3 linked regions of the Drosophila melanogaster genome follow. The protein of the gene in region 2 interacts with the protein of the main gene of each other region in a pairwise test. Each region holds a gene or a part of one and is shown on either strand. Other genes may lie near its edges. The genes, in order: B9d1, Hn and Fer1HCH.

Region 1 (3,653 bases), on a different chromosome or scaffold from region 2:
ATGTTGGACGGCGTGCGCAGTCCCTTCGACGAGGTAAAGATGTACATCACAATGAAGTTGCCCGCCAGCGACATGGTGCCCAGAATGGCAATCACAAAGCCAATGATGCCGAACCACATGGGCTCCAATGGAGGCCACTGGTACCAGTACGGATCCACCATGTGCATAATCTCGGCGGGCACACTCTCCGCCAGGCTGAGATTGCGCCCATCGCGCATATAGGCGAAGCTCGGGGGATGCAGGCTGGCCATTTCGAATGGCTGGTACTGGTGGCGCTTCGGTGGTGGCTTCGTCTAAACTTGGATGGCTGGCTACTCTGCTGCGGCGACTACTCGCTGTCCATAGCAGGACGGCTGACTCTCGGGACGCGAACTCGGCGGCAATGCCTGGGGCGGACCATGGTCGTCTGGTCTTTATATGGCCACTTGTGTACAACGCGTCTTAGACTAATTGCCCTAATCCAATTAGCCGGCACTTGGCCAATCCAAAGCTAACCGTTCGAATTGGGCTTTCGATTGCCGCTCGTTTGCTGCGTTGGATTAGCAGCAGTCGCGTCATTTTGAAATCGTCTTAGCCGCCACAACGGACAAGGTCAAGTTTGAGGTACCACCCACCCGGCAATTAGATTAAGACAAACGCTTTCCTGCTTCCTCAAGTTCACGTTTTACTAACACACTCTGGACTCGACTCTCTCTCTCAGGAGTGCCAATGGTAGCCCAGCTTGCGGGCGCCCCTCATCACGGAGGACAGCTGAAACTGTAGGCTGCCGTACGACTCCATAGAGAGTCCCTTGCACTTCAGGTTGTCCAGCAGCACTTTGGGGTCCTTCAGCTCCGGCTCGCGGCGCAGCAGCCAACTGGTGATGTCCGCCATCATGTTGGGGCACTTGGGCATCAGGATGGGCGCCTGCAGCTGCTCCGTCTGATCCGCTGGACGACGACTGCCGAAAACGGGCAGGTGGATGTGAGCGTAACCGAGTAGTGTCTCCCTGCCCAGGCCACTGCGTCCGAACACGGTCACCAGGATCTGTGGCCCTGGAAACCAAAAGAATTGGAGATCTTGTTGGTGTAACTTCAATCTGATTCGAAAAATTGTTAATAGCTGAGCTGAGAAAGAATATAGTAAACTAATCGATTCTGTACTATTACTCACAGCCATATGGACTGGTGCTCTTGTAGGTCACCTCGATGGGCATATTGAAGACAATCGGTTCGTTGAAATGGCCCCTTCTATTGGTGGCCAGCTGGGTGAGTCCGTGCTGGGGTCCGGAGGACAGCTGCCAGTCGGGACCAGCGACCATTTCGTAGCGCAGGAAGACGAACTCCTTGTCGGGACCCAGGGGAAAGGTGGCCGAGACTATTTGGCCCACGATGCTCAAACTAAAGTAGCTGGCAGTGGCTTTCGCGTCCATTGCATTGGGAACACTTTCTTTGGCACTCCGGGACTTCTTTTTGGCCTTCTTGGCCTTTTGTTTATGTTTTTCATGCGGCGGAGTGGTTTCCTCGTTGCCCGGGAGACTGATGCCTTCGCTGGCGCTCATGGTGGTGGTTGCCGACTCACAACGGGGTGTGTTTCCAGCCAAGTCGAGTGCCAACTATTTTCCACCTGCCAAAACTGACTTGGCCACAAACTAAGTGTTGAAAGTGGTCAAAAAATATGACAGCTTGGACCGAAAAAAAAGGGATATTTTCTATAACAATCGATATATTGGGATTATATAGCAAAAATTGTTCGATTTATTTCATACGATTTTTGTTAAATGCATTATTGTATTAATTTGATGTTTATGACTTGCAAGATCGGAAACGAAATGATTGTAAACAATTTCCTCTATATTTTGATGATTCTTAAGGTTGAGTAATAGGAATTCCCCAGAGACACTCAACAAACGGATGGTTTATGGCCTGTCTGCATTTAATAATAGTTTAGATAAAACTGCGATGATAATTTCTATTTTTCTCTGATTCAATGAGGCAACATGTTCATAAATCACATTAATGATTCCTTTCGTTATGTATTGTAACCAGTTGGTGGATTTCCTTTGTTTCGTTAGTTAAGTATTCGCACACTTTGTCATGTCGACAGCAATGTAATTTAATTCCAACCGACATCGCTGGTTACATGGACATCGAGTGGTTCTGGCTTCCAATTTGCATACTCCGATCCAGATCGAGATCGAAGAAACATATCTGCACACCGCTGGTAAGTGACAATTACAAGATAATAACTCATTCTGCAGACCGGCAGTCTGGGCGGGGCAAAAGGTCAATTTCAATTTCGATTCGACTCACAACTCTTGGTCGGTCGTGTAATTAATGCTGTAATGGCCATTTAGCAATTTATAGCTGCCAACGTGGCATGGTCGTAAATCATTGTAACAATTGCCGGCGCTACCGAAGTCTACAGGAAGTCGCGCCTTCGATCTTCGATCCCCCGGTGCCGCTCCCTATTAGCATGATGCATTATGCAATGGCCAGTGGACAAGTAGCCAAGTAGCCAACTGGCCAACAGCCAGGCAGTCAGTCAGTTAGTCAGTTAGTTAGTCAATTAGTCAGTCAGTCAGTTAATCAGTTAATCATGCTGGGCGTAAATAAAATGCGCCTCAAGTAATGTCAATGGTTCAAGGCGAACTCCCGGCTCACCTGGCATCTTCCACGAGCCACGCAGATGATCTTCGCACCCATCGGATTGGATCGTCGTCAGTGCAGCTGTGGAGCTGAGTGGTGGCACAGCTGGGACAGCCGATTGGTGTTGCAATCAGAGTCGGATCAAGTGCTTACACTGGAAGAAAATTCCACTTACCTGTTCATTACCTATTCATTAATAAAACGATGGCTGTGGTAAATATTATTTGCAACTGTATTTTATTCAAAAACTAACTGACAAATTATTAAAGTATTTTCAGTAGTTAAAAAAAAAAAAAACAAGTATTGTTTATAAAAATAAATTAAGATTAAATGCATTACTTATCGGAAATTACCCATTAATAAGCACTGTGTACCCAAAGTTGGCGATGATGTTTCATTACATTCCAACTATGTATATAGTTTTCCCGCTTAATCTGGCATTTCGAGCAGTGTAATGTGTGTGGCATGTGCAGTTCCATGAAATAAGCTCCTTTTGATTGCCAAAACAAAAGCTTAGGCTTAGTCAGTCAGCCCAAAAGCAAAGGCAAAAGCAAAAGTAAAGCCATCAGAAATTGGACATCAGGCCATATGCCAAATCCAAAGCTAAAAGCCGCTCAATTCGCTGCTGCAATCGGAGATAGTGCTGATGCAGCGCAGAATCGACATAATTTGGGCTCGAGTTTAGCTATATGGCATTATACTCGTAGCATTATGCTGTGCGATTTTGATTTCGACAATTTTTCCACTTCTAATACTGAAGAATATGCCGCCTGCAGGCAAACTGACACACACAGACACACAGCCATTGTGAATTCAATTACGTTTTTGGAATCAATGAACGGAGGCATTATTCAGAAGAAATATTCATTTTGGAGTCTTATATAAAACCGATTCATATCCATTGAATGACCGGCCAGCCTGGTGTAAATGAAAATTTTCAATTGAAGTCTTTTGCAAGTGCATTAGCCACTCGAGGAGTTGCATTACTGAAAGTCGAGCGTCGTGTGTTGAACCGATTTGCGAAAT
Region 2 (3,754 bases):
ACTCGATGATCAAAATAGTTGTATTTTGGATGGCTCCAAATTACCGCCATCGAAAGACGCGCCTGTCAGTCAGGAAGCACCAAGAAAGGATATATGCCCTTTGTTTAAGGGACCAGCCAACGGAAAGGCTTCTTGCGATAAGTATCTCCAAAATGGCTTCAACTACACTCGTTGCAATATTACCTGCAACGCGGGTTATATCATGCAGGGCTCACAATTTGCGGTTTGTGGACACACCGGACTTTGGTCTAGTCCAGAAGCCAAGTGCGTGGGTAAGTACACATCAATGTACAATGTACAAACAATTTAAGTTAGTGCTATAGGATTTTATAAGACACATTATGTATTTGCTATTGCATCCTATTTCTAGAATCCCTCGCATTGAGTTGTCCAGTTTTGACACCCCCTCGCAATGGACGTTTCTATCCTGCAAGCTGCAATAATGAACCATCCAAATCACTCGCGATTTGTGAACTGTTATGTGATCGAGGCTATTTGCCCAGAATGGACACACAGCTCATTTGTGCGGCACCATGGGGCTGGATCCAAAGAAGATGGCAGGACAATGTGCCACAATATGTGTTTCAGCAATCAGTAAGACTGAGTAACCTAACTATAACACATATTTACATTTTACCTTTACGCATTTAATTTTTTAGGTGAAACAGGACGAGGGCTGCGTGAAGATCGCTCCGCCTTAACCGGATTCCACAAAGCCGTTAATTTATTTTAACATATAAAACGACAAAAAAAATAAAAATAAATTTAACCTACACTCCTGCACTGAAGCGTGCATTGATTTTGTATTGACTATCAGTCTTGGTGTGTAAAAATCAATGAAGATGTAAAACTTTTGACATGTAGAACAGATGTTTAATATTCTCCGCTGAAGACAAATCTTGTAAGCAAACGGTACAGATAGGGCTTGCTTGTTTTTCGGATGTTTAAGCATCGTCATCATAGATCACTCCCATTTCGTCTTGATTTTGGAGTGTATTGAAAGTGGATTATCAATTCGGTCTACATAAAATATTAGCCTTAATACCCTCATTGTCTTCAAAAATGACCTGATTTCTTTGCCTACTTTTGGGCCTAAATCAATGCTTTTTAGGATTGACAAAAAACATATCTAAAAATAGAAATAAGAATATTGAAACATTTTATGTCGGAAGTAAAGACATGGTATAGATATGGTTTATTGCTTTAGCTTTTGTAAGCTCTTGTAATATTACATCAGCTTAAATTTCGGGGTTATCTGTTGACGTGCTTATACCGAGTGAACTCTGAACTTGAAACAATAATAAACCTACTCATAGATTAACAATTACAAGTGGGTACCACAATGTAAGTCACCTAGACTTAAGGAAAGCGTATTACCATTTAAAAGACAAAATCCGACAAAAAGTTCGGGTGAGTGTAACGATTGGACTAATTGATTCCAGTCAATCTGATGTGGACCGCAAGTATAAAAAAAAAACCAAGAGTAGCGCGTGCCAGGCCCACTTGGAGCTATTCACTACTGAAATAATTGCCCTGAAATGCCGTTGAACTCGTTTGGTTAGAACCTGTCATTAGAAAAACACAGCCCAGATTATTCAGTATGATTTTTTGCAAAACAAAGCAAATCTAAAACTAGCTGAAATAATGTTTTGTTAATTTGGACCCCAGCAGAGGGGCGAGTCTTAGCTGATAATATTTCCAAAATACAGTGGAACATGCGAAAAGGAAGTGCTTTGGGTTCTTCAAAAGTAAGAAAACATTGTTTACGATATTATATTTTATCTATAGAAAACTGTGCCTAAGTTCCAGGAACACAGATCTATAACATTCAAAACTGGTTTTTCGAATCAGGCGTTCCTTTTTTTCGTATTTTGAATTATGGATGCTAGACTGTATTTAAGCCTCAACATTTAGATTTGATCGGCTAGACGACGGCTTCTGTAATGAAGCTGAATACTGAAATGGGATTTTAGGCCCATCGAGACACTGGGCACTGATAACCCCGCAGCCGCAGAGCCATAGCCGCGATTGGATCGCATGTGGATGCCGTTCCAAGATCATTTACTCGCCCGATTGCCCGCGATATTATTTGTATTTTTTACTGGTTTCAGTTCGGATTGATTTTCGTTTGGGCTCAGCTATGGGGCCTATCGAAAAGTCTATTTAAGCGCGCGATTCATAGAGAAATTAAATCAGTTTTAATTCGTTTGCTGAACGGATCGTTCGCCATCGGTTTTATTGTACTTATCAGTGGAGAAACCCGAGAATCTTGTGAAAATGTACCAGCGGCAGGTCTCCTTTGATAAGGTTTGTTGCTTCGGCGAGAGTCCTCTGTGCACCCGGTATAGAAAGTGATCCGTAAAATAGCTAATAAATTAAAAACAATAACAAGTTTATTATTCTGCGTTCTCAGCATGAACTTGTCCAACCTTTGAGGAAAAAAAATTCAAATAAAATATAATTTTATTATTTTGATTGAAATGAGAATGCGGATCTATAATGTATAAAACCTGTCATGGAATTGGGTTAGTTCGCAATAGTTCTAGACAAAGGAAAACAGAGTGGTGTCTGGGACTCCTAGTGGTTTATTTTATTTTCGCTCCTAAACAAGTAGTTTATTAATGTGTTTTGTAGAGTAAAACCTGAATTAAGACGTCAGGCGCATATATTGGAAGTAGAAACAGTACAGCTTAATAAGATGTCATATAAATACATTAAGAACAAATAATTCAGCCCTGTTAGAGGACCTTGTTATGGCTCAAGATCTTGCAAAGTATACTACTTGGGAGACCTTCCCACAGATACAGCACACCAAGTTCTAGGCCGAGTCCTTGGCAATATGCGCTGATTGCCATTGCGGTCGGACCTAAACCTTCAATATGGGGGTTCAAGCCAAAACACAAACAATCTCAATGATGCAGATCTGAGGCAAGTACTACAATTACAGTTCGTTGGCTCATATAAGGCTTCGGTTAAATGATTATGCGATTTGGGCCCTGGTAGCCTCTGTAATAGGAGATTTGCTGATAGACATTGCATAGTCATAAGAGCAGAGAAATATTATCTATATTAAATAGTTTGGCTTGACTGCTCGTTTAGCCCAGGTCACTCGGAGTCAATCTGTCAAATTTCCAATGATGCAATGGCTGTTTTCCCAAACAGCAAAAATATAAACCGTAAATATTTTTTAAATTACCAATGAATTTATTACAGCCAACGCGCGTAGAGGATTCGGCTTACATAGTCGAGGGTGTAGATATTAAGGAGGCCAGGAACACCTGTCTTCTGTTTTCGCCCAAGGATTCGTCGTTGTCCAGCGGAGCTTTGGCCAACATTTTGGCCATCTTCAAGAAGCATGACATAAACCTGGTGCATATTGAGTCGCGTTCCTCGCTGCGTGTTCCCGGTTATGAGTTTTTCGTGGAGGCCGATGGAAAATCGGGAGCCTTGGGAAAAGCCATCGAGGATGTGAAGGAGCAGTGTAGCTACTTTAACATCATTTCGCGTGACTACAAGGATAATGCCACGGCTGTGCCCTGGTTCCCGCGGCGTATACGCGATCTGGATCGTTTCGCCAATCAGATTCTGAGCTACGGATCGGAGCTGGATGCCGATCATCCTGGTTTTACCGATCCGGAATACCGCAAGCGTCGCAAGTACTTCGCCGACATTGCCTACAACTACAAGCATGGCGAGCCCTTGCCCCATGTGGATTACACCAAGGAGGAGATCGAGACCTGGGGCATTATCTTCA
Region 3 (3,754 bases), on a different chromosome or scaffold from region 2:
CGCTGCGCCTTCTCTATCTCCACCTCCTTACAGGGTCTTGTCGAACAGGAACTCGCCCAGTTCGCCGTTGGTGTCCATCATCTTCTTGAGAGTGGTCAGCTTGCCGGCGAGCTCGCGCTGTCCGTGGAGCTGCTCCTCCAGATAGACACCGGTCAGGTAGTCCACCAGGTGGTAGTGGTTGTAGGGCTTGTTCTCGCAGGTCTGGATCAGCTTGCGGATGGACTTGGTCACCTTGATCTCCAGGTCGAGGGCGTCGGACAGGGCGGCGGCACCATCGGTCCACTCCTGCTTGGCCACAGTCTGTGGGGGATTCGCCAGGATTAGCTGGGCTTTTGGGTTTTCTAGGCGAGTCGTCGACTTACCGGCACATTGATCAGATCGCTGACTCCCTCGGTCAGTTGACCGCGCATGGACAGGTACTCCACCAGCTTGGATCCGTGCTCACGTTCCTCCTTGGCGGCCTTGAAGAAGTGCTCGGCGAATCCAGGGCGGTTGACGGTGTCGCGGGAGAAGTAGGCGCCCATGGCCAAGTACTGGTAGGAGGCGTTGATCTCCTCCTGGATCTGATTGCGCATGCCCTTTATGCAGGCATCCTTCATGTCCACCCAGTCCTTGGTAATCTCAGGAACAGCCAGGGAGCCTGCAATGGGATAAGGTTGGGTTAAGTCGGGGGACCACGATAACAATATATGGCTAGTATTCAGCTTTAAAAAATTTATTTTTGTAATCAGAACTTAGGTAAATTTTAATATTTTAAAAACCTTTGCACTCTTGGTCTTGACCTTCATGGCTTAGGTTTTGTTTTTCTTTTAGTTGATGCTCTTCTCGCTCCCTTTGAAGCTCTCTCACGAAACTCTTGCTTTCTTGCTTGGCTGAGGGGTAGGGCGTTGTTGGTTATTGCATTTAAGAGGGCGTAATTGCATAAACCTTTGAAATTGCGCTTGAAATGCCGCTATTCTAGGGCACAAAAACCGTGTGCAAAACTGTAATGGCCTACTCTCCCACTCTCTCTCTCTGTTTTTGTAACTGCATTGGTAACGTGCGCAGCTCTCGCCGCCATAGTAACGGCATTTGTTTTCGTGTAGTGCCGTGTGCAAAAAGCATGGTTCACCATGCTAGCTCACTCGGCCCGTAAAAGCCGTGTGCAAAGAGCGCCTTGAAATGTAACAACAAAAAGTCAAGCTTATTTATACCGCAATATTCATGGAAATGAAAGCGAAATTCGCATTATTTAATTATGAAAATTTATGTATAAAAACTGGTTATCATTTCCCCAAAGCGCAACGGAAGTATCAATAACTTTTAAATCAACTGGTTTGGTAACTTCACTTCATTGACGAAAGAGAGTGAAAGAGCGTCAAAGAGAAACGGCGCATGCTCTTTTCAACGCATTACAAATGTTTTGCTTCTCTTTGCGTATTGCGTCGAAATTTATTGTTTTTTTTCCGATGACCTGCCTTTGTTTTGTTTGAAATTCTGATGAATAAAACGTAACATTAGTACTTACACTTGAAATCTCCATAGGCCTGGGCCACCACGGCCAACAGGAGCAGGCTAGCAATTAGTTTCACCATCTTTGATCGTCGAACGTAGTCTTTACACAAAATCACAGAACAAAAATTTGTTTTTCACTTTAGTTTGATTTGCTTGAAATGCACAAATGAGAATGAGGCGACTCGAGTTGAGCTACAATGTTAAATAGGCGTTGAAATTGAAAATCTAGCTGCCTTTACACACACTGGCGCAGAAGGCGTCGCCTGCTTCAATTTGATGGGCTTGATTGGGATTATTTTCGACTTCTCGAATGCTTTCCAGTACCTTCTGCTGACAGCTTTAATCTGATTTTTCAGTGGAGCTAAGGCCTTTCTACGTTGTGTTTTAGCGAACTCGAAAGCGAACTGTCGCTCCGAACGGCGCACAAAACACTTTTAAGCGCGCGCGCTCTCGGTTTTTCTTCGTGTGTGTGTGAGTGATGGGAGAGTGTGCACTGTTATCTTTTCAACATGTCGCCCGTTCTTTGTTAACCGTTTAAATGGCTGATAATTGAATATTCCCGATAATTGCCGCACTCAATGTGATACACACGTCCTCAATATGGGTATACTTTGTATAAAGTCGGGTTTCCTAGTCAGATAATCCCCACTTACTAAGAAGTAAATTTATCAAATGCAATATGGCCGCTCTTTTGAGATGCGCATCAGCTGTTCTTTGTTTTTGTTTTGGCCGTGGGAGAGCACCACGTCATGTGTTGCCAGGCGGTTTAATTATTGCTGACAATTTAATTCACATTTTGTCAAGTTGATTTGCACGTTCGAAGGGGGGATCAGTCACCCACTTTGATAACTGCTAATATGGCGACGGCTCTTTTTTACGTGTCGCTTGCAGAGCTCCAAGAATGACACTTGATAAGAAGGATACATGGTGGGAAAACTTACAAATTACATAATTTGTTTGTTGATTGGGGAAACCCTACATTATCTCCGAACCCAGCAATAATATGTATTGTAAATAGCAACAGTCTCAAGCTCGATGCTGCTGTGAATTACCAATATATCAAAACTTAAAACATTATCTTAGGAGGTAGATGGTTTATCTGCAGTTTATTTTCAATTCTCATCGTTAGCTGATAAAACTCTCAGGAAACCACTTGAAATCCAAAGTGCAGCGTCCATATTTTGCACACGCTGACAACCCTGTCGTGAGTCACCTTCCAGCAGGCGCAGCAACAACAGCACTGGCAGCGGCCATATTTGAATGACACCGAAATCCCGCACTGAGCGCAAAACAACACATGCCCATGCACGCTCTCCAAAACCACACACACACAGCCATATCGATCGCATAGAAAGAGACGTACGCGACGCTATAAACAGCAGTTGATTTTCAGAGTTTCACCAAGAAGCACATAAAGCGATTGAATTATTAATAAAAGCACAGGCACTGGAAGTGAGTTTTAATATTACTAACTAACTACTTTGTGAGTGTTTAGTTACGAAAACTAGAAAATAATATTCTGGAAACTGTGTTTTTAAACCGACCACCATATAAATTTAAAAACCAAAACATTCCATTGGTGGTGGTTTTGTTGTTAAAAAAGAGCACAGAAAATTCAAGAAAACGCTACGACGCAAAACGAAAAAACTCGCCCAAAATGAAAACAAAAGTGTCTGTTTTCCAATTGTCAATTGTTGTGAAACTAATTTCCTTTGTTTTCGCCTCTCGAATTTGATTTTAATTTACAGTAAACCGTCGACATGAAATTTTTCGTTGCACTCGCTCTCTTTGCGTGCCTCGGCTCTCTTGCCTTGGCCAAGGATGATGAATATTGCCAGAACACTGTAATCACCGCATGCTCTACGTCAGCCTTTTCGGGTGAGTAAAGAGAGCGCCTCTAAGAGAGAGTGGCTAATCTGTGTTGTTGCTTTTTGTATCTTTGTAAAACATAATAATAAAAACAAGCGCTCACGGGCTTTTTCACAGGCAAGAGTAAGTGAAATATAGATTGGATGTATTTCTGCACTATCTCAGATTTCGTGAAAATGAACACTTTCCAATTCTTACTGCATTACGGCCCTTACATTATTATTTTAAAGATACAAATACAAATTCAAAATTCTATTGCCTTGTTTAGTATGGCACTACCTAGTTAGGAACCATTAAGACTATGTCATTACTATTGGATGTGCTTCTGCTCTCCTATTCTAAGAGTGTGATCTTTATTATTTGCTTTTTCCCCGTAGCCAACTCCATTTGT

Evidence for each region.
Region 1: the proteins of Hn (region 2) and B9d1 interact in a two-hybrid assay, tested with the Drosophila melanogaster proteins (one large-scale study listed by BioGRID).
Region 3: the proteins of Hn (region 2) and Fer1HCH interact in a two-hybrid assay, tested with the Drosophila melanogaster proteins (one large-scale study listed by BioGRID).

The regions. Positions count from the first base shown.
Region 1 is NT_033777.3:15,479,894-15,483,546, reverse strand, and holds B9d1 (B9d1), read right to left. Parts: upstream 1,642-3,653; 5' UTR 1,541-1,641; coding exon 1,153-1,540; intron 1,035-1,152; coding exon 697-1,034; 3' UTR 643-696; downstream 1-642. UniProt on the Drosophila melanogaster protein: Probable component of the tectonic-like complex (also named MKS complex), a complex localized at the transition zone of primary cilia. Required for ciliary structure and function.
Region 2 is NT_037436.4:7,758,350-7,762,103, forward strand, and holds the start of Hn (henna), read left to right. Parts: upstream 1-2,103; 5' UTR 2,104-2,277; coding exon 2,278-2,307; intron 2,308-2,634; exon of another isoform or gene 2,635-2,928; intron 2,929-3,017; exon of another isoform or gene 3,018-3,198; coding exon of another isoform or gene 3,199-3,213; coding exon 3,214-3,754. Other genes in the region: CG32373 (uncharacterized protein), read left to right, coding at 1-272, 371-594, 660-701.
Region 3 is NT_033777.3:30,385,957-30,389,710, forward strand, and holds the start of Fer1HCH (ferritin 1 heavy chain homologue), read right to left. Parts: upstream 1,664-3,754; 5' UTR 1,575-1,663; coding exon 1,508-1,574; intron 1,454-1,507; exon of another isoform or gene 1,156-1,453; coding exon 1,147-1,155; exon of another isoform or gene 928-1,146; intron 873-927; coding exon 762-872; intron 641-761; coding exon 363-640; coding exon of another isoform or gene 342-362; exon of another isoform or gene 301-341; coding exon 28-300; 3' UTR 1-27. Other genes in the region: Fer2LCH (ferritin 2 light chain homologue), read left to right, coding at 3,255-3,372, 3,460-3,486, 3,741-3,754. UniProt on the Drosophila melanogaster protein: Stores iron in a soluble, non-toxic, readily available form. Important for iron homeostasis. Iron is taken up in the ferrous form and deposited as ferric hydroxides after oxidation.